Linked DNA regions of Cricetulus griseus. The protein of the gene in region 1 purifies or fractionates together with the protein of each later gene. This does not show direct contact. Links are inferred from orthologs where the notes say so. Each region holds a gene or a part of one and is shown in the gene's direction. Other genes may lie near its edges. The genes, in order: Hectd1, Urgcp, Smc4, Copa, Iqgap1, Znf622 and Zranb1.

Region 1 (4,037 bases):
TTTGATGTGGATCTAAAACTTCTAAAAAACAAAACAAACTTTTGCGGGTGAATCTCTTGCGCAGCTGTGGTTGAAAAAGAGTAGCCTAGGTCTTTGCATAGATAGTCTATTTTCATTGCTATTTTTTGTTCAAAGGATGAATTAAACGAGCGTTCAGTAAGGAGTGTTAGGCATATCTTAGTAATCTCGAAAACCAAGGGGCTCTAGATATAAGAGGTATGTTTGCTAATGGCATCATAATGGATCTCCATGTCTGCCCCTAGAGGCAGGTGCATTTTCTCCTCTTCTTCCTCCTCCTTTACCCCACCCCCCTTCACCACTGCCGCCACGAGAGTAGCCTAGACAAGTCATGACCTCATTATGTAGCTAAGGATGACCTTGAACTCCAGGTCCTCCAGCCTCCAGGTCCCTAGTGTCACAGTCATTGGCGGATGCCACTCCCAGCGGCCAGTCTTTATTTTTCCAATGTCCGTGAAATAAAAGTTCGAAGGGGGAAAGCTATGGAAGCACTAGTGACCACAAACCGCAAGAAAAAGAGTTGAGAGCCCTCGGGGCTGCTGCTTCCCGGGACTCCGAGGGGGGCCGCCAGGAGGCACGCGTCCCATCTGCACCGAGGCGATAACGCCGAGCTGGCTCTCCCAGGCTCGCCGTGGAGCGTCCTGGTAAGCCGCAGGGCTCTCGTCCTCAGGCGGACGCGGGGAGGGGGTGACCCGAGAGCCCACACGGTGGCCTCCGTTCCGCCGGACTCCGGAGTGGCCCGCGCCGGGCGAGGCGGGCGGAGCGTGCGCGAACCAGCTGCCGGCGGCGCGCGCCGATTGACAGCGCGGCGAGGCCGGCGCCCGGCGGCCTAAGGAGAGCCGTAGCCGACCGCCCCAGGGAGCCCGGCCGTCGCGCCGTCGTCGCCCCGCTCCGCCGGCCGGGCCTCCGCAGCGCCCCAGGTGGCCGCGGGCAGGGCGGCCGGGAGGCGTTCGCCGCCTCCGCCGGCGCGGCCTTCGCCAGCCTCCCCGCCCGGCACCCGGTCGAGCCTTCCCCTGCCCCCGCCCGGCTGGCGATGGACGCGGCCTCTCCCCGCCGCCGCCGGCAGCTGCGCGCGGGCCTCGCTTTGAACCGCAGTGCCTGAGGAGCCGCGTGCCGGGGGTCGGGACCGCGCTGGCTGCCGCCGCTCCGGAGGACCTCTCGCTTCCTTGTCACCGGGTCCCCGCGGAGGAAGGGGAGGGACGAGACGCGGCTTTTCCTGTGCCGCCTGCCTGGCTCGACCTGCGCGGCCTGCGGCTTCCTGGGAACTCGAAGGCCGCGGCCGGGCCTGGCTCTGCCCGCGGCCTGCTCGGAGCTGGACCGGAGCTGTTTGGGACGGCGAGGCAGGGTAAGAGGCTGCGGGGAGGGCAGGCGGGAGCGCTCGGCGCCGTCGGCGGGCTGGGCCTGCGCGAGGATCCGGGCGGCCGAGCTCAGCGGCGGGCGGGCGGGCGCGGAGCCGGACTCAGGCGCGGTGAGGTCGGCGGTCCGCCGACGCCGCCGCTGGGTCTCGGCCCCTTTGTTTCCCTCCCCGGGCCCTACGGGGCTTGGCTCGCCGGCGCCGGAGCTCCGGCTGCGCTCCCCTTGTCCTTGATGCGGCTCTGCCGCCCGCCCGCCGGGGACCGGGGACGTCCCGCTGGGCCTCCGAGTTCCGGGAGCCCCGCAGCCCGGCCGGCCGCTCGCCCGCTCCCTCTCGAGCACTCAGGCTGGCTGCTGCTCCAGAACTTCGCCCTCCTCCCGCAGGCTGGGAGCTCACTTAGCCGGCTTGGGTGTCAGCGGCTCGGCTCCGGCCTCAGGCAGGCCGAGGATGGTGGGGCAGCCCCGCCGCGCGCCGCCGACGGCTGCCCACCGCGACCCGCCTCTCGGTTCCCACAGCGGCAGGTGGATGGCGTGGGACCCCAGGCCGTCCTTCGGTCGGACCTTTTGTAATGACTCACCTACCTAGACTACTACTCGATTTTTTTTTTTTTTAATAAAAACTAACTGCCCCATCTTATGGGAAACTAGAGCGGCCTATTTTTTATTTTTATTTTTATTTTTTGCGCGCGGGGCGGGGCGGGGGGACTTGGTAAGCTGTTGGTTGCATTTACTTTAAGCATTAAAAAAAAGTTTTAAGAACACTTGCCAAGACTGCCAGAAGTTCAAACGAGTATTTACCACCACCCCCCTCCCCGGGAGATTTCATATCTGATTACTGTTTGTATTTAGACATATTTCGGAGTAAGTTTGATAATTAAGAATTTGTGAAGTTGTTGGGAAAGGAGAAATTCAATTTGAAGGAGAATTGATCAAAATGTGTAATTTCCTTAAAAGTACTGGATGTGACCCGTGTGGGAAGTCCAGGTTTTTGTTTTGTTTTTCGAGGGTGGGGGGTGGGGGTTGCAGGGAGAAGTTCTCTGGTAAAAGAACTTTTTTGTGGGTGTTCTTTGCTTTTTGGCACAGACATTGGTGATAACAGTAGTGGGATCCAATGCTTGTTTCACTGTTTGACGAAGACAGCTCTAGTTTCTAGTTAACTAGCAACCTAATCAGCCTATATATACTCTTCTGTTCAACTCTTTTGTGTTTAGTGTATCTGAACATTATGCCCTGGAAGTAGAGGGAAGTTAGAAAATGCTACATATAGTAGACTTTTTGAAATAATACAGGAGTTTTGAAGTTTGGAAAGTTTTTAAAATCATGTATATTTATTTATTTTTGTATGTGTGCAGGCATGTACATGCTATAGCTCACATATGGAAATCAGAACAACTGTCCATGTGTCCGTGTCCGTGTATGTATGCATACTAGTTTGGGGACCTTACAAAACTTGGTTCTAGAAGATGTAAAGGAAAAAAGTGTAAACATAGGCCGATCAGTTCTGAGTACTTGAAAAATCCTTTTCCTTTTGAAATTTAGGCAAAGAGGCATTTTAAAGACCATGGCCGATGTGGATCCTGATACGTTGCTGGAATGGCTGCAGATGGGACAGGGAGATGAAAGGGACATGCAGCTGATAGCCCTGGAACAGCTCTGCATGCTGCTTTTGATGTCTGACAATGTGGATCGGTGTTTTGAAACGTAAGTGCATTCCTTCATCATCTTCCTCTAGGGTCGCTCCAGTGACATCTGTTTCCAACCATTTGCTGAGTTTGGTTTGTGTGAAAACTTCACTAGAGAATTTTAAAAAGTCCTTTTAGACATTTCTGAAGTTGTCTGTTTACTTTGCTGAGAAATAAAAGGTGTCAGGAAATGGAACCCTACTAATGATATAATTGTGATTATGTAAATACATATTTGTTGAATGAATGTGAATTAGGAGTACTAATATTAACCCATAGCTTGGTTGAGTCAGTTATGAAACATCTCATAAATTGAGGAGAATATTCTCTTTAAAGCTGTTTCTATACCATATGACTGACTGATTAGGAGAATAAGATTAGAACTGCCTGTTTCTTTGGTTTTCATATGTCATTGTGCTTTTGTTAAAATAAATTTCTGGTTTGTAAATTTTATTTTGAGAAGATACATTGGTTGCTACATAGAGTGTATTTGTGTTTGTGTGTGTGCATGCCATGGTGAGCAGCAAGGAGAGGACAGTTTTTGGGAATTGATTTCTCATTTCAGTATGTAGGTTCCAGGATGGAACTTAAGTTATCAGGGTTTGTGGTAAGTACCTTTACCAGCTAAGCCATCTCAACACCCCAAATTTGGACAGTCTCTCTCTCTCTCTCTCTCTCTCTCTCTCCCTCCCCTCTCTTCCTCTCTCTCTCTCTCTCTCTCTCTCTCTCTCTCTCTCTCTCTCGTGTGTGTGTGTGTGTGTGTGTGTGTGTGTGTGTGTGTGTGTCTGTGTCTGTCTGTCTGTCTGTCTGTCTGTGTGTCTTTTTTTTTTTTTCCAGACAGGGCTTCTCTATTGCTTTGGAGGTTGTCCTGGAACTCACTCTGTAGACTAGGCTGGCCTTGAACTCACAGAGGTCCGCCTGCCTCTGCCTCTCCTTGGGACTAGAGGCATGCAACACCACTGCACGGCTTCTTGTATGATTTTA
Region 2 (4,227 bases), on another chromosome or scaffold:
GATGGAAAGAGGCCCTGTAACAATTGAATATTCATTTAGTTAACCCTCATAAAGAAGAAGGGAATGAGGAACCGTGGCCCTTGAGAGGTTCCCTCTACTTGGGCAACTATAGCTAATAAATTGGTGGAGCCAGTTTCCAGCCTAGATATTCTCGCATCTGAACAAAGGGTTAATCTCTTTAGTGTTTTATATTTTTAGTGGTGAAAAGAATATTAATTTTGGGTCCTGTACCACATGGTGGTGCACACTTTTAATCTCAGCAGTCTGGAGGTAGAAACAAGCAGACAGAACTCTGGTGAATTCAAGGCCATCCTGCTCTACACATGGAGTTCTTGCCAGGTCGGTGTTACATGGTGAGAACCTGTCTCAATAAAAGCAAAGAGAGAGAGAAAATTAGGAAGGTGGGGAGGATCTGGGAGGAAAAAATATGACCAAAATATATTGTATGATTTTTTTTTTTTTTTTTTTTTTTTTGGTTTTTTGAGACAGGGTTTCTCTGTGGCTTTGGAGGCTGTCCTGGAACTATCTCTTGTAGACCAGGCTGATCTCAAACTCACAGTGATCCACCTACCTCTGCTTCCCGAGTGCTGGGATTAAAGGCGTGCGCCACCAATGCCCGGCTTTGAAAAAAAATTTAATAAATAAGCTTAATGTGATAACACAAAAATGCCATCAGCAGTGGTTTGCACTGCATGGTCCAAAGCTTTTTATTAGGTATTTTCTCTTAGAAGATACTAGTTTGGGAACTAATTTGGCAGGGACTGGAACCAAAGCTCAAAAATTTAGGTGTCCAAGTATTCATAGCTTGTAGGAAATCCCACTACACTAGTTCCAAACTCTATACTTTTAAGTAATAACATATAAAGCTTACTAGTCACCCTCGTCCTAAGTAAAGTTAAAAGGGGTAACCGGTTGAGAAGCCAGCCAGTACACAAAAACACCACTGCCAACTAGTAGCAGGAAAGACATTGTTTTCCTTTTTTTTTATTTTTTTTTTGGTTTTTCGAGACAGGGTTTCTCTGTGTAGCTTTGGAGCCTATTCTGGCACTCGCTCTGGGGACCAGGCTGGCCTTGAACTCACAGAGATCCGCCTGCCTCTGCCTCTCTAGTGCTGGGATTAAAGGTGTGTGTCACCAACGCCCAGCTCATTGTTTTCCTTAATAACAGTAATAACACTTTATACCCGAGAGCTAGAGAAAGTGCTTTTCTTACAGAAATTAACATCAGATTGCGGAGGTTGGGGGTGACGTCCCTCTCGCCGTCTGGCAGCCAGTCAGTGGCCCCGGGGCAGGTCTGGCTCCGCAGGTGAATCCCGGCCTCCGGGCAGCGAGCCGGGCTAGAGGCTGCTGTCGCAAGTCCTTCGGGCCCTGAGCGTCTTCTCCCTCGCCCCAGGCGCCGGCCTGCCCTCCACCCGGAGCTCGGCCCACGGCGCCGGACGCCCCAGCGGAGCGGGCGGGGGCAGCCTGCAGGCCCCTCCCCGGCGCCCAGCGGCAGCCGCGCAAGCAGCGGAGGAGGCGGGAGCGCCCAGGCCGCTGCGCTCATGGCGTCGCCCGGGTGAGTGAGGCGCTCCGGCTGCGCAGGGGGCGCCTCTTGGGCGAGGGGCGGGCCGAGCGGTGCGTGTCCGCGACCCGGCGCCCCCTCTGCCTCAGCCTCGGCCGGACCCCAGGTGACCCTGTCCCGTCAGGTGCCTGTCCGCGACCCGCGGCCTCCCCCGCCGACCTTGGGCGGTCGTGGACCGGGCCAGGGTCTCCCTGCAGGATCGCGGTCGGCACCAGTCAGGACAGCGGTCTGTCAGGGCCAGGGAGTCCGAGAGATGGAGCCTGCATCAGCGCAGCCGGGAGGCTGAGGGAGGGGACTCGGGGTCCTAGGTCTCGGCTGAGGCCGCAGGGAGGCTTAGCAGGCCTGACGTGTGTTTCTGGCGTTTGCACTTGATTGCGTTTGAAGTTGATGCTTGGGTTCACTGTCAGTGTCAGGGTATGGGGGACTCAGCTGGACCCTTGTCCAGAGTCGGAAAGCGGATCCGGGATCTAAGGCCCTGCTTGTGCTTGAGTGGGGGTGGGAGCTTCTGTGGGATGGCTACACTTGTTCTGGTATTACCTCTTTTCTAGTGCTTTTTCTTTTAAAATGTTCTTTCTTAGGAAATTACAGTAACACCTACAGTTTGTATTTATTTGATGAAAAACTATCTCAGCCCTTTTACTAGTTATGAGAACTGAAATGACATAATTAGACTAATGCTTTTATGTCACGTAAAGGAAAATGGGACTCAAGGTCATAGCTTTAGTTGGTAAACATCTTTTTTGACTCTACCCCATCATTCAGAGGATCTTAGACCCAGCAGTACTGGTAGTAGTAATTCAAGTAGTGTATCTTTGCAGTTCAGAGGGCTTACAGGTGCAGGAGGACTTTTGGGGTGGAGCATGTAGAAGTTAAACCTCCTACAAAGAAGGTCTGCACTGTGTTGTGGAGTGATTTGGCTGGGTACAGTGGTCTGAATGAAGGTGAATGAAGCAATCTGAACTTGATCCAGGCCTGCAGGCGCCAGCCAGATCATGGGCAATTTCCACCTGCCTAATGCCTTTCTAGGCTTGAGGACCAGCGGGCACTTCTGGGAGCCGGCCTTTTCATTGCCAGCAGAGTATCTAGCACTTTGAGCTCATAAGGAGAATAAACAGTGACCCATCCTGGAAAGGCCAGGTTGATGGACCCAGAGGTTCAAGGTCCCTCTTCATTCTTGCGCTGCCTGTTAGGAAAGTGTAAGACAGGGCCTCTTGGAAGCACCATGAAAATGTTTGAGCCTTTGGGGGGCTTCCATTAGGCTTGTAAGAAGTCTTAGCACATTTCGTGTCTAAGCACACTGCTTTGTAGACATGAGTCAGAGGAGGACCTCCTGTTGGATCAATAATTCTGTGGGCCAGTAATGCCTGAACCACGGTCTGTCTTTATAGTGGGTGGTATTTAATGTTTGTCGTTCTGGTTGTTGTGAGTGACCCAGTGAAGTCAGGGTGTATATTAATTTGTAATTTTCTAAGGGGAGTCTGTTAATAAAACCGAGGTCACAAAACTTTTAATAGACTTAAAAACTGTGCTTGGTTTGATATGCATACACTTATTGACTGCAGTTCATATCTGTAGATTTCACATCCAAGCATCCTCTTTAATAGGCATCTCTGGTAGGTGAGAGGTTGACTCCTGGGAGTCCTGACCTGTCACTCAGCTAGCTGCCTGTAATGTTTTTGTTTGTAAGCTGGGGTCTGGCTAATATAGCCTTGGCTGGTCTGGGGCCCCAAGCTTACAGAGATTTCCCTGCCTCCAACTGTTACCGTTAAATCTCCTTACCACATTAGATGTTTTAGACAGCAAATGCAGAGCAATACATGGCAGAGATGGAAGAAGCTAGCCATGGAGGGGGCAGTCTCTAAATATGTGGGGACCATGGGCTCTTTGCCTGCCACTGAAAGGCATTTCCAGTCAGCATCATCACAGCTCTGTAGAATCTTTGTAACAGCAGTGTAGAGGGGGAGAGGGACAGGAGACACGACACAGATCTCACCCATCTGCTACCATCTTGCCCATTTCTGGACTGTTCTCACTCCTATTACTAATCAGCTGGCTAGGGTTCTTTTGCTCTACTTGAATAGGAATCATAGGCAATGACTAGAATCTCTTCAAGGGCTAGTCTTTGGCAACTTTGATTTCTCTCTGTTTGGTCAGAGCAAATGACAGCAGTTATGACAGAGGGAGCAGCAGCAGGTAGTACCTTCTCATGTTAGAGCCCTGGGCAAGCTTTAAGTGTTGGCACCCTTATTCCCACAAGGTTATGATATGTAGGCTCCAGAAATTAGGGTTCATGGTGCTTAAATCCACTTAGGCCTAGGTTTTGATATCATTGCCCCTAAAGACAGTTCTCTGGAACTCTGCTGGTATCCAGAGCCTACTGTTTTTTCCCTGCCTTTTTTTTTTTTTTTTTTTTTTTTTTTTTTGGTTTTTCAGGACAGGGTTTCTCTGTGTAGCTTTGGAGCCTATCCTGGCACTCCCTCTGGAGACCAGGCTGGCCTCTAACTCACAGAGATCCACCTGCCTCTGCCTCCCGAGGGGGAATAAAGGCATGAGCTTTTAATCCGGCTTCCCCTGCCTTCTTTGCTCAGCCTTCCTTCTTTGCTTTCCTTCTCTACCTCCACCACCCTTCTTCTTGCTCAGCCTGCTCTTCTGTCTGCTGGGCAGCCT
Region 3 (3,500 bases), on another chromosome or scaffold:
GCTTCTGATGCACTGAAGATGCTCCTTCAATTTGTCTTCATTATCTGAACCCTTTCTGTGCTCTTAAAGTTTTTACATTTTTGATTGAACTTAGATAAGAACTTTTTAGCAACTTGCCTTTTAGGAAGAAAAGGGAGAAATTGGGCTAGATAAAACTCATAGAATCCTTTTAAATTCCAGGGAAAGTGGAAGTAGTTTCTGTGAGATTTTCTTAGCTTTTTATCAGAATCTTTGACGCTTATACTAATAAGAGATTTAAAGCACATGAAGTAAGATCATAGCTTCTATTTCATTATCCTAATCACTAACATTTGTCTTAAAAACTACCACCTGTGCTTAGGGTGGCTAGAAAATTGAAGACAGTATCATAATATCAGTACAGACTGGACAGTGATACTGATTTTATCACATGTAATATAAATGTAGGAAAAGCAATTTTTTTAAGATTAAGATGCACTGAATTTTAGAAATTTATTTTAAAAACTTACAGCGTTTATGGATTTGTGTTTTTTAAGTAAGCATTTCTAGTATACGGATCAATTTAAAATTTCAATGATCATTCAGATGGTTAAGTCCTATTTCTTACCCTTGAGGACAGGTATAAATGGCCATGTATATTTCAAAAGTAGTCACAGTTGATTGATTAGCCATTGGTTTTCTATCTTACTGGAGAGATTTTTGTGATGTTTTAAGATTAATGGTCCAGGGGCTGGAGAGATGGCTCAGCAGTTAAGAGCACCGACTGCTCTTCCAGAGATCCTGAGTTCAATTCCCAGCAACCACATGGTGGCTCACAACCATCCGTCATAAGATCTGGTGCCCTCTTCTGGTGTGCAGATATACATGGAACCAGAATGTTGTATACAAATAAACAAATAAAATCTTAAAAAAAAAAAAAAAAAGATTAATGGTCCAAACAAAAACGATTTTATTAGTCTGTATTATTTCATAGGTGACTAAAACTTAACTAATTAGATTTTATTGGTTTGCTCCATTAGTTAATGCTTTTGCTCCACTCAAGTTAGAAGTGACAATCCTATGCTTCAGTTACCCTTCAAAGTTGCATTAATAGATTGGTGTATTGGAAGTGATTTTGTAAATTCCTTTAAAAAACAGAAATTGGATTTTGTCAAAATTTATGTATATTTTTTGTCTTCATATTATGAAATAAAACATTTTTATAACTTTTCTACTCTGGAGAGTGGATTAACCTTGTTGATCATGTTTTTTAATATACTTTTATAGAAGGCGTGGCATATAAACTATTTGTTGTCGTCTTTTTATCTAGAAATAAGGAAAAAAATCTAAAAAGCAAACCTGACTACATTTTGAAAGAAGTTTTTGACTAGTTGTCTGATCCAGTGGCTCAACTGTGGAAAACATGCTAGAAGGCTGCCCCTAAGCACCCAGAATAGATATGAAAACTAACCACAAAAGCATTCTCTTTTTTACTTGTGTACTTTGGACAGATATTAACCTTGGGGATTTGGTTGTCCTCTTGTAGAACAAATTAGGGTAAACTGTACTTGAGGAAGGTAGAAGTTATAGTTCAGAAAATGAAAATTATTTAGGCAAAACAAAAATTAGAAAGCCCAAGGGGGTTGGAATATTATCTGTGGTAGTGATTGCTAGCACACATGAGGCTCTGGATTTGATATCTAATAATGCCTACTTGTATACACATCTACTGTATATGTGCTTGGGGCCAAGGTAGTCAGGAGAGGGCATCAGAACTTCAACTAGGGTTAGGGAATGCTGTGAGCCACCATGTTGGTGCTGGGAACTGAGCCTGGTTCTTTGCAAGAGTAGTCGGTACTATTAACTGCTGAGCCATCTTTCCACCACCACCCCCTGTATTTATTTTAATGAAAATAAAAGCACTTATTTCACTTCGCAAGTGCTGGGATTCCAGATGTGTGCTACCATACCCAGCTTTCTCTTAGATTTTTAAGCTCTAGGTACCTGTAAATAAGATCATCAAAGAATGGTTTAACTGAATCACAGTATCCTTGTTTGCTACCCAGCAGAGCCTTCATTAAGTTAGAACTCAAGCTCCTTTCTAATTTATTTTTCCCTCTTCTGTTGCTAGGGATCAAATGCAAGGCCTTCTGCAAGCACTCTACCACTGAGCTGTATACTCAACCCCACCACTCTCAGAATAATTGAGGCTGGGAGTGCGTTAAAATTTTGTTCAAAGCTGAGTGGTAGTAGCCGAGGCATGTGCCTTTAATCCCACTTCTCAGAAGGCAGAGGCAAGAGATCTCTGAATTTAAGGCCAGCCTGGTCTACACAGAGAAACCCTGTCTCAAAAATAAATAAATAACCACAAAACTTTGTTTGGACACATGGCTTTATTCTCAGCTCTCAGGAGGCAGAGGCAGACTGATTGATCTCTGAACTCTAGGCCTACATAGAGAGACTCTAGCTAAAAAAAAAAAAAAAAAAAACCTAGAAAGTAGCAATAACTATGAGGGTGAATGAAATGTTACCAGCTCCAGGTAATCTTTTAGTGGTCCCTGTTCTGTTACTATATGATTTGTAAACTTGGAGTGAAAGAGTCCTTTAAGTTCAAACTTAAAGGTGCTATGATTTTTTTTTTTTCTGGATAAAAGAAAGGATCCTTGGTGGTTTTGGTGGTTACTGCTGTTGCAGAGAACCTGAGATTAATTTCTACCATCCAGTTTACAACTGCTTGTTAAGTTTTAGTCATCTTTTCTGAAGTGGGTCACTTGTCAAACTCACTAGGTTTATAGAGAAATTAGATAACTACATAAAGGGTAAAACTAGAAGCATTTGGGCAAGGTTCCTTATACAGTTTAACTAGAAGGAACTCTGAAAACTTATTTTAGAATGAGAGACCATTAGCAAATTGTTAGTAATAATTGGTAATGTACCCTGTCAAATTTTGCTTAACAGAAAAATTTGTTTACTTGAAACCACAACATAGGGTATCTTTGTGTCTGTATGTGGATATGTGTTGTCAGTAATTTTATAAGAATAATATAAAGGGGTTTCAGACCCCTTGAATAAAACATCTAAAACCTACTTGATGAATATCGTTTAGTTGGGATTACCCTATTCTTGCTGAAGAGATTTAGCTACTGAATACAATGAGGATGAATGTAACTCTCTTAAAGGGTGAAGTCGAACAGATTGCTATGATGAAACCAAAAGGCCAGACTGAACATGATGAGGGTATGCTTGAGTATTTAGAAGATATAATTGGCTGTGGACGGCTAAATGAACCTATTAAAGTCTTATGTCGGAGAGTTGAACTATTAAATGAAAACAGAGGAGAAAAGGTAAATGAATCTTTAGTAGACATTAGTTGCCAATGAGAATGTCTTATTTATGGATCAATTGAATTTACTGAGTTGAATACTTTTTATAATTCACATAAAAATGTTTGGGTTTTTTTTTTTTGTTTTCTGAACCCTCCATTTTTATATTAGTCTTTGGATGAAATCTTTTACTTGGTGTTTATGTTTCGATTTGACTTT
Region 4 (3,500 bases), about 130 Mb from region 1:
AGCCATTCCATTTTCAAGTCTTTAGCCTAAAGTTCTTTTTTTATTTTGTTTTGTTTTTGAGACAAGGTTTCTCTGTATAATGACCCTGGCTGTCCTAGAACTCACTCTGTAGATCAGGCTGACCTTTAATTCACAGAGACTCTCCTGCCTCTGCCTCTGCCTCTGCCTCTGCCTCTGCCTCTGCCTCTCTGCCTCTCTGCCTCTCTGCCTCTCTCTGCCTCTCTCTGCCTCTCTCTCTGCCTCTCTCTCTCTCTGCCTCTCTCTGCCTCTCTCTGCCTCTCTGCCTCTGCCTCTGCCTTCTGAGTCCTGAAAGTAAAGGTGTGCACCACTACTGCCTGGCTTCAGCAGTGGTGATTGCCAGCAACTGGAGGTGAAATGTAAATGTTTTCTAAGAATAAGGTGGTTTTCTTGTTTGTTTATATTTGGTTTTGTTTGTCCTTTTTTTTTTTTTGACCATGTCTCCCTATATAACCCATGTGGGCCTCAGGCTCCCAGATGCAGGATTACAGGTGTGTGATACCATGCTCCACTTGTGAGTTTGTGTGTGTTTGTGTGTATGTGACTAAACTCAGCACTAGGCAAGCCACCTCTCTCCCACTAAAGTAAATATCCAACTCCAAAATAGCTTAAAATACAATAGACTAGTGAGATGACTCAGTGGTTAAAGTTCTTACCACCAAGCCTGATGACCTAAGTTCAGTCCCCAAGGCCATATGGTAGGAGGGAATTGATACCTGCTAGGTTTTCTTTTTTGTTTTGTTTTGTTTTTGTTTTTGTTTGTTTGTTTTTTCAATGTTTTATACATAGCCAACATTTATATAGGTTTTCCTCGGACTTCCATGCATGCATTCTGATACATGTGTGCCCACATGAAAACACATGTGCATATATAGTAAATACATGTAATTAAACATTTTAAGTATGGTGCCTTTGTTCCTTACAGTTGTAAAAAAGAATGAGTTTCCATTAATTGAAGTGTAAAAAGATTTATGTCATATATTTAAGTGAGAAAGGTTTGCAAAATAGCATCCTATGATTCCATGTCCATAAAATAGTAAGGCCTGTGTTTATATGTAGCTGCATTAAAAACCTGGACACACTTCAAACTGCTAACAGTTTGTTCTTCCAGTTTGTTCTTTTATCACCCTGATGGAATAACAAGGACTAGATTTGTTTTCCTGCCTTAAATTGCTAAACAACTAAGCCAAACTACAAAGGTTTCAGACAGTGGTTAGTAAAGAGTCCAGGAGATTATTTCTTGAGGGAAGGGAAATAAAACTGGGCAAGTCCTATGTTTGTTTCAGTTAGTTAGAGAGAGATTCCAGCCTGTAATGAAGGAAGAAAGAAGAATCCTGTGGTTTAACTGAGGAACAAGTTTTCAGCATTTGGAACAACACAGATGGCTAAAATATGCTTGGGAAATAGCAGCAAAGGGAGAGCATTGGGGTCTGTATTGGTTCCCTGGGCCCTTGTTAGAGTGTTGATAGGTACATTCATGTGAGAAAAGTATTTTAGGATTTAGGAAAGAGCCACCAAGAGGTAGTTGTGGGACTGGAGAGATGGCTCAGTGGTTAGGAACACTTGCTGCTCTTGCAGAAGACCCAGGTTCAGTTTTCAGTACCTATGTGGTGGCTCCTAACCATTTGTAACTCCAGTTGCAGAGGATCTGATGCCCTCTTCTGACCTCCACAGGCAACAGGCATGCATGTCATGTACATAGACACATATAGGCAAAATACTCATACACATAATACATATAAAATGTATTAAAAAATTAAGTGATAGTTATGGTGGTTGTACATTCCTCTGATCCTACACTGGGAGGCTGAGGTGGGAAGATTGTGATTTGGAGGCCAGCCTACATGTAAGAGTGAGGTCTATCTGTTTTAAAAAAGAGAAAAAAAATAATAATTGAGGTAGCTGAGTAGTATTCTTCCAGAGTACCCAAATTCAGTTCCCAGAACTCATGCTGGGGCCTCACAACCACCTGTAACTCAAGTTCTAGAGGATCCAGCACATCTGGCTTATAGATACCTGCACTTGTGTGTACATGTCCACACACAGACACATACCTAAACATAATTAAAAACAATACAAAAACAAGTTTTTTTCTTTTCTTCCCTTTTTTTTTTTTTTTTTTTTTTGTGTGTGTGTGGTTTTTCGAGACAGGATTTCTCTGTGTTAACAGCCCTAGCTATCCTAGATCTAACTCTGTAGAACAGGCTGGCCTCGAACTAACAGAGATCCGCCTGCCTCTGCCTCTAGAGTGCTGGGATTAAAGGCGTGTGCCACCACTGCCCGGCACAAAACAAATCTTAATAATAATTTTTAAATGAAGAATGAAAAGAGAAAGCAGAACAGTAGTCCCTGGAGCTCACACAAAGCTGGAAATAGTCTGTGCTCCTATGAAAGAAACAAAAAGATTTTTTATTGTCTGTGGGGCTAGAGAGATGGCTCATCGATTAAGAAGGATTTCTTGACAGTATTGAGCATCCTATAGAGACCCTCTGGTGGGTATTCCCTTAGCATGGTTCCACATTAGACCTAGACTATAAAGGCAGCTGTAGACTCACAGTAACAAAACTTAAGGTAATATCTGTGAGCTGATTCCAACTATGACACACCTCAGAACAAAGCTCAGCAATGTTTAAAGGAATCTCTAACAGTAAGATTTATTGTATTTGGTGTCCAATCAAAAGCTAGCTATCAGCTGGGTAATGATACTATGTGCCTTTAATCGTAGCACTCAGGGAAGCAGAGACAGGTGAAACTCTTGAAGTTCTGGGGCAGCCAGAGCTACACAGAGATAATTTAAAAATTAGGGGGAAAGTTATCAAGTATGTTGAAGAAATAGATAGATAGCCTCTGGTTGATCTAGTTGTTCCTTTTTAAAATAAGACTCGACAAAAGATGACATCAGGGACCTTACCTCATTGTATAATTTTCTGCTTTTTTTTCCCTCTTCTCCAGGCCTTAGTTTTCATCCCAAAAGACCCTGGATCCTGACCAGTTTACACAATGGGGTCATCCAGTTATGGGACTATCGCATGTGCACTCTCATTGACAAGTTTGATGAACATGATGGTAAGTTAGTTTCTGGGGTGGGGTGGGGACTAAAGGATATATGTATTGGAGCTAGAGAGATGGCTCAGTGGTGAAAAGTTCTAACTGTTCTTGAAAAGGACCTGAGTTCAATTCCCTGCACTCACATCATTCCAGGGCTCATAACCAATCTGTAACTCCAGCTCCAAGGGATCTGGTACTCTCTTTTGGCCTCCACCAGCACTTGAACACATGTGCACATGCGTATACACATAATAAAAATGAATTTTTAATGAATATTTTTAAAGACCAAGTATTTATTATTGTATAGGGTGATTTAATCATCCCCCAAATAAGAAACCTAGTTTGACAAGGATTCCCCCTAAAACTAAAGAATGTGGAAGTGGAAAGGGGTAGAAACAAACAAACAAACAAACAAAAAAACTACAAATAGAATT
Region 5 (3,500 bases), on another chromosome or scaffold:
TGTTCAGCCCCTTTTGTGAAGATACCTGTTGGCCTTGCGGGTGGAGATGGAGGGATGCAGGTCAGTCACTGGATCTCTTTACAGCTCCTGTTGGACCATCAGGACGCCATTGCTCCAGAGCACAACGACCCCATCCACGAGCTGCTGGATGACCTTGGCGAGGTGCCCACCATCGAGTCCCTGATAGGTAATGTTCTTAATGAGCCTCTGAAAAGCTGAGAGGGGACCGCATCAGGGGATTTAGTATCATTGTCTCTCTGATCTTGCGCCATATCAGAGTCTAGATACACAGTGGGGAACAAAACTAATATAGGCCCCACCTTATGAGCACCTGAGTCCAGTGAAATAGCAGATACTTTTAAATACAGAGACAAAAGTAATACAGATAATCAGAAAGTAAGTCTTATAGTTAGATTGTTGACAATTTTTTGAGACAGGGTCTCACTTTGTAGTCCTGTCTAGCTTGGAACTCGATAAGACCAGGCTGGCTTCACACTCCCAAAGATCTACCTCTCTTGGCCTCCTGAAGGCTGGGATTAGAGGTGTGCACCACCGTGCCCAGTGAAACGAGTTTTTCACACTTTTATGAAGTTACTGTGTTATGGACCCTTCTCCTCAACCATTTGCCTCAGTTTCCTTTACTTCTCAGTAACAACTGCTCATCACACTGAAGGGCATTGGTTTATCAAGAGTCATACTGACCTGCATTGTATTTATTTGAATTATTTTCCCTCCAAAGTGTTTTTTTATTACATTGACTCTTTCTACACTTCAAAAACTGCAGGGGAAAGTTGTGGCAATTTAAATGACCCCAACAAGGAGGCACTGGCTAAGACAGAAGTATCTCTCACGTTGACCAACAAGTTTGATGTGCCTGGTGACGAGAATGCAGAGATGGATGCTCGGGCCATCTTACTGAAGTGAGTATTGAAAGGGAGAAGGAAGCGGCTTAGAATCCAGTTCACCTGGAACAACCATCCTGGCCTCTCTTGCCCGTCACAGTGCTCATCACCCTGCATCGTGCTTGGCACAGGACTTACTTTGCTAACATACAATTACAGTCTTGGAACTCCTCCCCTGTACCACCTGCTATAGTTCCCTTGCTCCTTGTGCCAGTAACTGTCCCTCTGGGTGCTGTAGCAAGGCGCTGTGGGGTGACGATGCTTCAGATACTGCTCAGATCCTATGACAAGGAGGTAGAACACACAGCCATGTTCAAACCCATTCCCATCTCATTGCAGCACAAAACGTTTAATTGTGGATGTCATCCGGTTCCAGCCAGGAGACACCTTGACTGAAATCCTGGAGACACCAGCCACCAGTGAACAGGTACACATGAAGGTTTCACACTGGATAAGCTTTTCTATGATAGGTGCATCCCTGGGTGGGGATAGGGGCACAGGGAAGGGATTGGACCCTTGGGTGAGCATGGATCTGGCTATGGAACAGTAGTAAACAGGGCTCATCTGACTGAGAAAGTTGGTGGCTCCTAAATCCAGAAGGTGTTCTTAGGATGAAACATGAGATAGAGAATACAGGATAGATGAGAATTTAATCTGGGACAGAACATGTTGTCTATGTAGTAATTTAATGACTGTCTTATAGTTGTAATTATATGAAGTACCTTGGTTGTGTCTATAAAAGTACAGGGTGTGGCTCCAAACTTTAAGGTCCATTTAGAAAAATTATGATACATGCATCTGAAACCATAAGACCATTAGAAATTAGCTATAGTATTGATTATAAAAATGCCAGGGAACTGGAGACATGGCTTAGTGGTTAAGAGCACTGATTATTCTTCCAGAGGACTCGGTTCAGTTCCCAGCACCCACATGGCAGTTCACAACTGTCTGTAACTCCAAGATCTGACACCCTCACACAGGAATATATGCAGGCAGAACACCAATGCACATAAAACAAAAGTCAAAAAAGATTCCAGAAGTTTCTGGCTATGGTGGGCATGCCTTTGATCCCAAAGATATCTGTGATTTCAAGGCCTGCCTGGTCAACATAGCTAGTTCCAGGCCAGCCAGTGAGACTCTATCTCAAAATAAACAGAAACACAACAACAACAACAAAAAACCCCACAGTTTTTGAGGTGGAGGCCAGTGAGGAACAGTGTATCAGGAAGTCACAACAAAAGAAACAGAACCCAAGCCACACTTAAAGACTGGGAGGATCTGGGTGTGATGGAAAACAAAAGAGCAAATTCTGGGGAAGAGAGCCCACAGGAATAATGGGACCAAGGAGGGAAGAACACAGTGAGATCTGGGGTGAAGATGGGCGGGGTAGTTATGAGAAAAGCAAAGCTGAGGGTGGAATTATCTAAAACTCTAGAGCTCAGACTGGGGTGAGGAGATGGTGATGACAGCCATGGATGATAGCCGTGGATGCCAAAGTCAGAAAAGACGATGAAGTTGTTACAGAATGATCAGTTGGGCTTGGCAGTACTCAATCTCTGCTCAGTTGAGGCAGGAAGATTACCAAGTTCAAGGCCAGCCTGGGCTATCTGGCAAGACCTTGTCTTGGTTGTTTTTTCTTAAAAAGTAAGGGAAAGGGTAAGGAAAGACAGCAGAGTCTAAGGAAGGTTCCTTGATATGACAGTATTTGCAGTGTGCTTGGGAGCAGAGGGCAGCAGGAGCCTGCTCCAGCTCAGGCAGTGTGTCAGGAGCATTAGCAAGATTTCACTGGGCACTGCTATTGGTGTTAATTTGTGTAGTTATGAGCCACATTTTGACTTCAACATCCTAAATTAAGCTGGGAAAAGGTAAAGGATTTCTTAGCTCATAGAATCTAGTTTTCTGGCTACACCTAGTATCAAGAAAGCACAGCATCTGGATTCACAGTTGTACTTTGCTAGGTGAAATGAGGTATCTCACTTTGATGCTGTTCCTTGTCTGGTAGAGAGAAGACATTTACAGCAGACTTGGAGAACTCTGTATTCAATTGCAGATATGCTGTGAGTCCAGGTTTAGGGCTCCTGTGGTGAACTTACCAAAAAGTATTTTTCTTTTCATCTGTAGGAAGCCGAACATCAGAGGGCCATGCAGAGACGGGCTATCCGGGACGCCAAAACCCCCGACAAGATGAAAAAGACAAAACCTGTGAAGGAGGATAACAACCTCAGCCTTCAGGAGAAGAAAGAGAAAATTCAGACTGGCCTAAAGAAGCTAACAGAGCTTGGGACCGTGGACCCAAAGAACAAATACCAGGAACTCATCAACGACATTGCCAAGGTACTGCATGTGGGAACAGTGGTGGCCCGGCCTTGTTTACAGCCGCATCAGGAGCTCATGAACAGACAGTAGCCACTCAGGCCACAGCATAGCTTCTCGTATGCAGAATAGTACAGTCTGACTCTGACATCAGGACTTCAGTAGAGCTTCCAGTGTCTTGAGTTTTTCATTGCCTTTAAAGAATCCTTCAGGGCTTTTTCATAATTGCTATGGAATATATAAAGTTGGTAAAGTTTGTGTGAATCACCCAAACCAGGGTTCTAA
Region 6 (3,500 bases), on another chromosome or scaffold:
GATACATGCACACGTGCAATTTTAGAAGATATTGTTGAATTGTTTACCAAAGTGTTCTCTGTAATACCACCATTATTGAGAGTAAGTTTTCTTTTTCAGGCATATGGCTGAATATATAATAGTTTTACATTGTGTTTTATTATGACCATTGTAATTGTGAACCATTTACATATTAATTAGCTACTTGGAAGTATTTTTGTGTCTGATTTAGTCTTTTATCTATTTTCTATTGGGTTGTCTAGCTGTTACTATTTCAATGTGTATTTCAGTTACTTTTTTTATTAGTTTATTGTTTTGTGTGTGTGTGTGTTGCATGTGGTAAATAAATGCACATATGCACATGCCATGTGGAGACCAGAGTTGTTGGATGTCTTTCTTGATCATGCTCCACCTTATTTTTTGTGACAGGGTCTTGCTGGGACCTGGAGCCCACCATTCAGCTAGAAGGCTGGCCAGGAAGCTCCATAGATACTCTTATTCCCACCTCCCTAGGGTTGTTGGCATAGGCAGGCATTGCTGTGCTTCGCTGTTTTGTGGGTGCTAGAAATGGAACTTCTAATTGCATGGCAGGTACTTTACCCACTGAGCCATCTCCCTATCACTTTCTAGTTATTTTCTTAGGTCCATTTAAATATGAAATTTTGGATATATTTAGAAACAGATTCTTCTAGAACTACACTGTCCAGTGTGGTAATTAATAGGTATATCCTTGTGGCTACGTAAATGAAGTAAAAGATGTTAAAAATTCAGTGCTTTAGTCAGACTGTCTGCATTTGAAAAAGTTCGGTGTTTGAAAGCCCCGTGTATCTAAAACTAACATGGGTGACAAGTAGACGTGTCTTTCTGTTGTCACAGAATTCTGTAGGGCTGCAGTCTTCTAGAACTTGTTTCTGCTGTGATTAATTGGTCTATAACTTCATGTCCAGCTCTGTGTTGATGGCTTCTGCATTTGGTAACCTTTCTAGAGAGAGGACAAACATCCTCTTAAGGGTCATCTGGTCACATTTGTTGCAGAGAAATTCTAATGGTAGTTTTACCCCTTAGTCCTTTCAGTGGGCATTCCCTGAAGCTGGTGGTAGTTTTGCTCCATTTGTAAGTGCAGATGTCTGTTCATTCAAGTCTGTTCATTAGGACTATTTCCCTGTTACAGGAGTAGCTACCCAGATTACAAGGAGGGGCAGGACCCTAATGAAATTGAGCAGTTGTCCTCGGATAAGACTTTGGAATGCGATGATGAAACCATGGAGCTGATACTTCCTTCTGGTAAGTGTATTTGTCAGAAAGAAATAGCTTAATGCCGGTGTGTTGTGGAAGAAACATGTCTTCTTCAATTACCTGCTGAACCGAGGGAAAAAAAATCATGACCCTTAAAGTGTTTTTTGTGTTCTCAAGTACTTGTGAACTTTAAAAGTAACTACTTAGCTCTAAGTTGGCTTTGTCATTAAAACTGGGTTGTTGTTTTTTCTTGTTTCATTTCAGCTTTAGAACATTTTTACTAGGTATTTCCTTAAATTTTTTTTTTTTTTAAATGTAGACTGATAGTTCCCATGATCTCTCCCTCCCTTCTGTGTATATGTATGTATGTCTTATTCCTTGTGTCTCGTCTATCTGTGTATACATGTGCAAGTAGAGGTCAGAGGTCAATGTTAGGCATCTTTCTTCAGTTGTTCTCCTTATTTGGCAGTTTTTCACTGAACCTATAGCTCACCAATTTGGCTAGACTGGCCAGTGAGTTCTAGGGATCCACCCCTCCAGCTCTGGAGTCGCAGCTGTGTGGCAATATCCCCAGCTTTTTACCTAGGTTCTTGCTGTCTGAATTCAGGTCCTGATGCTTACATGACAAGTACTTAACCAACTAAGCCATCTCCCTAGGCTTTCTCTTAGCTTTCCGTGATATTCCTCCCTCTCTTTGACATGATTCCTCTGGTACCTGTGTTCTTTGATAGCCCAGGCTTTCTATTAGTTGCCTTTGCATAGCTGTGATCAAAAAACCCTAAATGAAGGATTTAGCTTGGTTCATGGTTTCAGAAGATTCAGTTCATGATCATCTAGCCAAATGTGTTTGGGTAAAAATATAAGGGCTGTGGGACCATGTGGTGTGACTGTTTGCCTCATTCATGGCAGATAGTGAGGCAAAAGGAGTAGGGATAAAATAGCCTCCAGGGAGCTGGCTCCAGGGCTCTACTGTCAAGTGGGTCCTACCACCTCAAGTTTCCAGTTTCTTATGTGGGGATCAACCTGAGCATAGTGGAAGTATCTCATAGTCAGACTGTAGCAGGCTTCCAAAATAGTTTGACATGTTGATATTTGAATAACAGTGCTTGGGTTGCCTATCTCTAGTAGTTGGAGAAGAGACTTGGAGGATGAATTCTGCCTCCTCCCTTGGAAAAATAATAAGACTCATTGTAGGAATTTATCCCAGGAATGAGAGGATGAAGGAGTCGTGACTATGAAAAGCATCCACTGTTGTTTATTGTATAGAAAGGAAGAAATGTGGCAGTTAACTGGTAAGAATGGAGGAGCTACAGAGGGCATGGTTTGAAATGAAAGAGAAGGGAATATGGAGATGATAGTAAAATATGAACAGATACATGGTGTTTACTGAGTACATAGCACATTCAGGCTTTACAACAGCCATGTGAATTAGATTCTCTTGTCTTCATCTGGCATATGAAACTAACATGTTTAAGCAACTTATCCAGGACCTCATACCAAGCCTTTCTCGACTTCCTACACTGCGTAGGGAGTTTTGCAGTAATAGTACAGCAGTAGTGGCACCCTCCTTGCCAATGAAGATGTCTGAAGCATTGTATGTGTTGAAAGTCTTGCTTCCTATTTTGCTGTACCTAAGCAGCTAAACACATGTGGTATCACTGTGTAGTACAGATAGCTGTCACTATCTCAGAATAATAACCTTAATGCCTAGAGCAGAGAGAATACCTTGAGGATAAAATTCTTCTTAGATGGTAAGGAAATTTTATTATAATGTATTGTAGTCTGTACAATACACAGTGGTCAGGACTTGTAGGAGCTCACAGACTCTAGACCCTCTGGACTGACAGCTAAGGGAGTATGCCTGGGACCAACCTAGGCCCTCTTTATGTATGTGAGAGTTGTGTAGCTTGGTCTGCTTGTGGGTCCCTAGCAGTGAGATCAGGGCCTGTCTTTCCCTGGTGCTTGAACTGGCTTTTGAGGGAACCTATTCCCTGTACTGGGTACTGTCTTCATGCTTTGTTGATGCCCATGGGAGGCCTGTCCCTTTCTGACCAGAGAGGTAGAGGAGGAATGGATGGGGTGGGGGGGTTGAGGTGAGGTAGGGGAAGGAATAGAAGAGGAGGGAGGGGAAACCGCAGTCAGGATGTAAAACAAATAAAAACTAATTAATTAATAAAAAAATTCACAATGGTAAAAGGGTGAATATAATCAAAAAACAAAACAAACAATAACAACAACAAAAAAAACCCATAAAAACCTCTCATAGCTTTTAGAGAATGAGAAAT
Region 7 (3,500 bases), on another chromosome or scaffold:
TACATGTGCATCAAGTGTGTGCTTGGTGCCCTCAGAGGTCAGAAGAGGGCATCAGTTTCCCTGTAGGTGCTGGGAATTGAACCTGGGGTCCTCTGCAAGAACAGCCACTTCTCTTAACCACTGACCCCCTCTCCCCCCCCCAGGCTTTTAAGGGTAATGCTTTTTATTGCACTAGAGTGCTCTATTAAGTAACCTGAACATAGAATGCTTGAAGAAGGTTACAAAAACACTGTATGTCAAAGTGCATACAGTTCATTAACTTTTATGAGAAAATTTCTCTTATGTTTGAAAATAACAGTTTAATAAGTTTAATAAAGTGTACACCTTTAATCCCAGTACTTGGGAAGCAGAGGCCAATGGATCTATGAGTTCCAGGCCAGACTGGTCTACAGAGCAAGTTTCAGGACAGTTGGGGTACACAGAGAAACCCTGTGGGGTTTGGGGGGAGTGGGGGGGGGAGCATGGGACAAAAAACAATCCAACAAACAAATAGAAAAAAGTAGGTTTGTGCAGAAGCAGCCCATATAAAGAGAAAGCACAAATAAAAATCTTAAGTATTTGTTTACATGTTATTTTTTATATTAACTAAGAATTTTAATAGTGAAACTCAAAAAAGGATTTCTCTGCATAGCCATGTTACATACGACATTAAACATAGATATCTGACAACTTCAGTAGAAAGGAAACATTTTTAATTAGAAGCTGGCATTTATTTATTAAGTTTTAAAACAGGAGAACAACTTTTAAGCCTGATTTTTCTGTGCAGATATTGAAGATTTGCCTCCAACAGTTCAAGAAAAATTATTTGATGAGGTACTTGATAGAGATGTTCAAAAAGGTAAGTGGATGATGAATGATATAATTTATCTTTTATCCAATCAGTTAGCTGTTGTATTTTTATCTTATTTTTTTAAAAGATTTATTTATTATGTATACAGTATTCTGCTTGCATGTATGCCTGCATATCAGAAGAGGGTACCAGATCTCTTTATAAATGGTAGTGAACTACCATTTGGTTGCTGGAAATTGAACTCAAGACCTTTGGAAGAGTACCCTTAACTCTTAACTTCTAAGCCATCTCTCCAGCCTATTTCATTTTTTATTATGTAGGAAGTGGTTTACTATGTAATTGTTTTGCCTTCTTTTAAATTAAAAATGCAGAGTCATTGAGAGCAGTATCATAGTTGTCTCATGCAAAGCCCTGGATTTGACCCACAACTCTGAACAACAGTGCAAAACAAAAAAGATATCTACAGCCTTTGTCTGTGATAGCATGAACAAATACATATATTAATTAAAGCTTAAAAACCTTAATTTTCTGCTACTTACTCTAGAATTATGTATTTCTCTTTTAAACATTTTTGGGGGGCTGGAGAGATGGCTCAGGGGTTAAGAGCACTGACTGCTGATCTTCCAGAGGTTCTGAGTTCAATTCCCAGCAACCACATGGTGGTTCATAACCATCTGTAATGTGATCTGGTGCCCTCTTTTGGCATGCACTGCATACGTGATAAATAAATAAATAAATCTTTTTTAAAAAACACATTTTTAGAAAACAAAATTGTAAAGAATTTGGAAGTTGAGTAAATTATTTCAGAAACAAAATATGTTTCACATATTTGGAAAGTTTACATTAATAAATTACATATAAGCTGGGCAGTGGTGGCATATGCATATGGGAGGCAGAGGCAGGTAAATCTCTGAGTTTGAGGCCTGCCTGGTCTACAGAGTGAGTTCGAGGACAGCCAGGGCTATAGAGAGAAACTCTATCCCCAAAACCCAAAACTAAATAAATAAAATATAAAATATTCTCATATAGATCATATTTTCAGCTCACTAAATACTTTATAATTGTGTAGGCATGAAACTGAATGTATTATTTAAATTCCTTTTAGAGCTAGAGGAGGAATCTCCAATTATAAACTGGTCCTTGGAGTTGGCTACGCGTTTGGACAGTCGACTTTATGCACTTTGGAACCGGACTGCTGGAGATTGTTTACTTGACTCAGTACTACAAGCTACCTGGGGCATTTATGACAAAGACTCGGTGCTTCGGAAAGCCCTGCATGACAGCCTGCATGACTGTTCACATTGGTGAGCTGGAACCTTTCCTGTTTCAGTTTAGAACTGAGCTTGCTGGATCATTTCCTTATAATAGTGGGTTACTTTTCTGCTCATACATAATTTTTTTATGTGTATAAGCATTTTTCTTGCATCTGTGTCTGCACCATGTATGTGTCTGGTACCCAAGGAAGCCAGACTATTGGATCCTTTGGAACTGAAGTTATAGACAGTTTGAGCTGTCATGTGGGTGCTAGGCATTGAACCTGGGTCTTCTGAAAGAGCAGCAAGTAATATTTAACTATTTAACCATCTCAGCCAGGCAGTGGTGGCACACACCTTTAATCCAGCACTTGGGAGGCAGAGGCAGGTGGATCTCTGTGAGTTTGAGGCCAGTGTGGTCTACAGAGTGAGTTCCAGGACATCCAGGGCTACATAGAAAAACCCTGTCTCAAAACAAACAAACAAAAAAACCCCCAGGCAACCAAAAAAGTATTGAGCCATCTCTCCAACCTGTCTTACATAAAAAAATTTAAAATCTTTATTTTTAACGAGGGCGGGGAGAGTATATGTATACGTTTGTCTGCCTATAGTGTGGTGGTATGATTGGTTTGGTTTTTGAGATGGCAGCTTTTTTTTGTTTGCTTGCTTTTCTTTATAGGTCTGCCTTGTAAGTTTAATGTGATTGCCCTGTAGGATGGATATATTCTTTGCTGCTGATGAAATTTAGCTTCTTAGCTGGAAAGCCAGATCTGGACTATGGTGGCAAAATCTGATTTGAAAAGCAGTCTGGATCAGGGCATACTGGTCTGGTATACCTGTAACCCCAGTATCTTGAGTGGAAGTGTCAGGAAGACTGAATTCAAGGCCACCTTTCAGCTATGTATAAAGACCCTGTCTCAAAAATTTTTGCTTCATGCCGGGCATTGGTGGCTCACGCCTTTAATCCCAGCACTCGGGAGGCAGAGGCAGGTGGATCTCTGTCAGTTCGAGGCCAGCCTGGTCTCCAGAGTGAGTGTCAGGATAGGCTCCAAAGTTACACAGAGAAACCCTGTCTCAATAAACCAAAAAAAAAAAAATTTTTTTTTCTTCATACAGAACCAAACACATCACCCAAGGCAGCTTGGGAATGTTTCCTTCCTAGTAATTGACTTATCTAGTAAGGCTGTAAGTAAATTGTGAATTTTAGTAGTTGATTTACCCCTTTCCCTAATTGTGAGGCTTTTATTTTTTACTCTTTAATTTGTTGCTAATAATTGTAGTTTTGGGACTTACTCTGCCTGTTTCTTAAAAGTGGCCATAAGTGATCTTATATTTATATTTGAGCTGGACTGAATCATTTGAGGTTGTTAGTCTAGTACAAGGGTGAGAAGAGGTAGTAAGAGAGCACATAAATGAGCCAGGTAGAAGCATTTTATTAGAGTAAGACAGCATGAGGT

Evidence for each region.
Region 2: the proteins of Hectd1 (region 1) and Urgcp purify together in Homo sapiens (affinity purification with mass spectrometry; 4 studies listed by BioGRID and IntAct, with this or other methods). This does not show direct contact. The link is inferred for Cricetulus griseus from reciprocal best matches to the Homo sapiens genes HECTD1 and URGCP.
Region 3: the proteins of Hectd1 (region 1) and Smc4 purify together in Homo sapiens (affinity purification with western blotting; 3 studies listed by BioGRID, with this or other methods). This does not show direct contact. The link is inferred for Cricetulus griseus from reciprocal best matches to the Homo sapiens genes HECTD1 and SMC4.
Region 4: the proteins of Hectd1 (region 1) and Copa purify together in Homo sapiens (affinity purification with mass spectrometry, with the first as the bait; 3 studies listed by BioGRID). This does not show direct contact. The link is inferred for Cricetulus griseus from reciprocal best matches to the Homo sapiens genes HECTD1 and COPA.
Region 5: the proteins of Hectd1 (region 1) and Iqgap1 purify together in Homo sapiens (affinity purification with mass spectrometry; 3 studies listed by BioGRID, with this or other methods). This does not show direct contact. The link is inferred for Cricetulus griseus from reciprocal best matches to the Homo sapiens genes HECTD1 and IQGAP1.
Region 6: the proteins of Hectd1 (region 1) and Znf622 purify together in Homo sapiens (affinity purification with mass spectrometry; 4 studies listed by BioGRID, with this or other methods). This does not show direct contact. The link is inferred for Cricetulus griseus from reciprocal best matches to the Homo sapiens genes HECTD1 and ZNF622.
Region 7: the proteins of Hectd1 (region 1) and Zranb1 purify together in Homo sapiens (affinity purification with mass spectrometry; 5 studies listed by BioGRID and IntAct, with this or other methods). This does not show direct contact. The link is inferred for Cricetulus griseus from reciprocal best matches to the Homo sapiens genes HECTD1 and ZRANB1.

What each region holds. Positions count from the first base shown.
Region 1 is NC_048598.1:150,459,279-150,463,315, forward strand, and holds the start of Hectd1 (E3 ubiquitin-protein ligase HECTD1), read left to right. Parts: upstream 1-1,237; 5' UTR 1,238-1,363; intron 1,364-2,910; 5' UTR 2,911-2,932; coding exon 2,933-3,072; intron 3,073-4,037. UniProt on the Homo sapiens protein: E3 ubiquitin-protein ligase which accepts ubiquitin from an E2 ubiquitin-conjugating enzyme in the form of a thioester and then directly transfers the ubiquitin to targeted substrates.
Region 2 is NW_023276807.1:99,078,049-99,082,275, forward strand, and holds the start of Urgcp (up-regulator of cell proliferation), read left to right. Parts: upstream 1-1,427; 5' UTR 1,428-1,540; coding exon 1,541-1,554; exon of another isoform or gene 1,555-2,275; intron 2,276-4,227. UniProt on the Homo sapiens protein: May be involved in cell cycle progression through the regulation of cyclin D1 expression. May participate in the development of hepatocellular carcinoma (HCC) by promoting hepatocellular growth and survival.
Region 3 is NW_023276806.1:84,126,028-84,129,527, reverse strand, and holds part of Smc4 (structural maintenance of chromosomes protein 4), read left to right. Parts: intron 1-3,137; coding exon 3,138-3,302; intron 3,303-3,500. UniProt on the Homo sapiens protein: Central component of the condensin complex, a complex required for conversion of interphase chromatin into mitotic-like condense chromosomes.
Region 4 is NC_048598.1:20,771,943-20,775,442, reverse strand, and holds part of Copa (coatomer subunit alpha), read left to right. Parts: intron 1-2,970; coding exon 2,971-3,084; intron 3,085-3,500. UniProt on the Homo sapiens protein: The coatomer is a cytosolic protein complex that binds to dilysine motifs and reversibly associates with Golgi non-clathrin-coated vesicles, which further mediate biosynthetic protein transport from the ER, via the Golgi up to the trans Golgi network.
Region 5 is NC_048596.1:116,873,817-116,877,316, forward strand, and holds part of Iqgap1 (ras GTPase-activating-like protein IQGAP1), read left to right. Parts: intron 1-84; coding exon 85-187; intron 188-784; coding exon 785-920; intron 921-1,241; coding exon 1,242-1,329; intron 1,330-3,023; coding exon 3,024-3,236; intron 3,237-3,500. UniProt on the Homo sapiens protein: Plays a crucial role in regulating the dynamics and assembly of the actin cytoskeleton.
Region 6 is NC_048595.1:356,781,660-356,785,159, forward strand, and holds part of Znf622 (zinc finger protein 622), read left to right. Parts: intron 1-1,150; coding exon 1,151-1,263; intron 1,264-3,500. UniProt on the Homo sapiens protein: Pre-60S-associated cytoplasmic factor involved in the cytoplasmic maturation of the 60S subunit.
Region 7 is NC_048596.1:67,864,160-67,867,659, reverse strand, and holds part of Zranb1 (ubiquitin thioesterase ZRANB1), read left to right. Parts: intron 1-766; coding exon 767-838; intron 839-1,895; coding exon 1,896-2,094; intron 2,095-3,500. UniProt on the Homo sapiens protein: Ubiquitin thioesterase, which specifically hydrolyzes 'Lys-29'-linked and 'Lys-33'-linked diubiquitin. Also cleaves 'Lys-63'-linked chains, but with 40-fold less efficiency compared to 'Lys-29'-linked ones.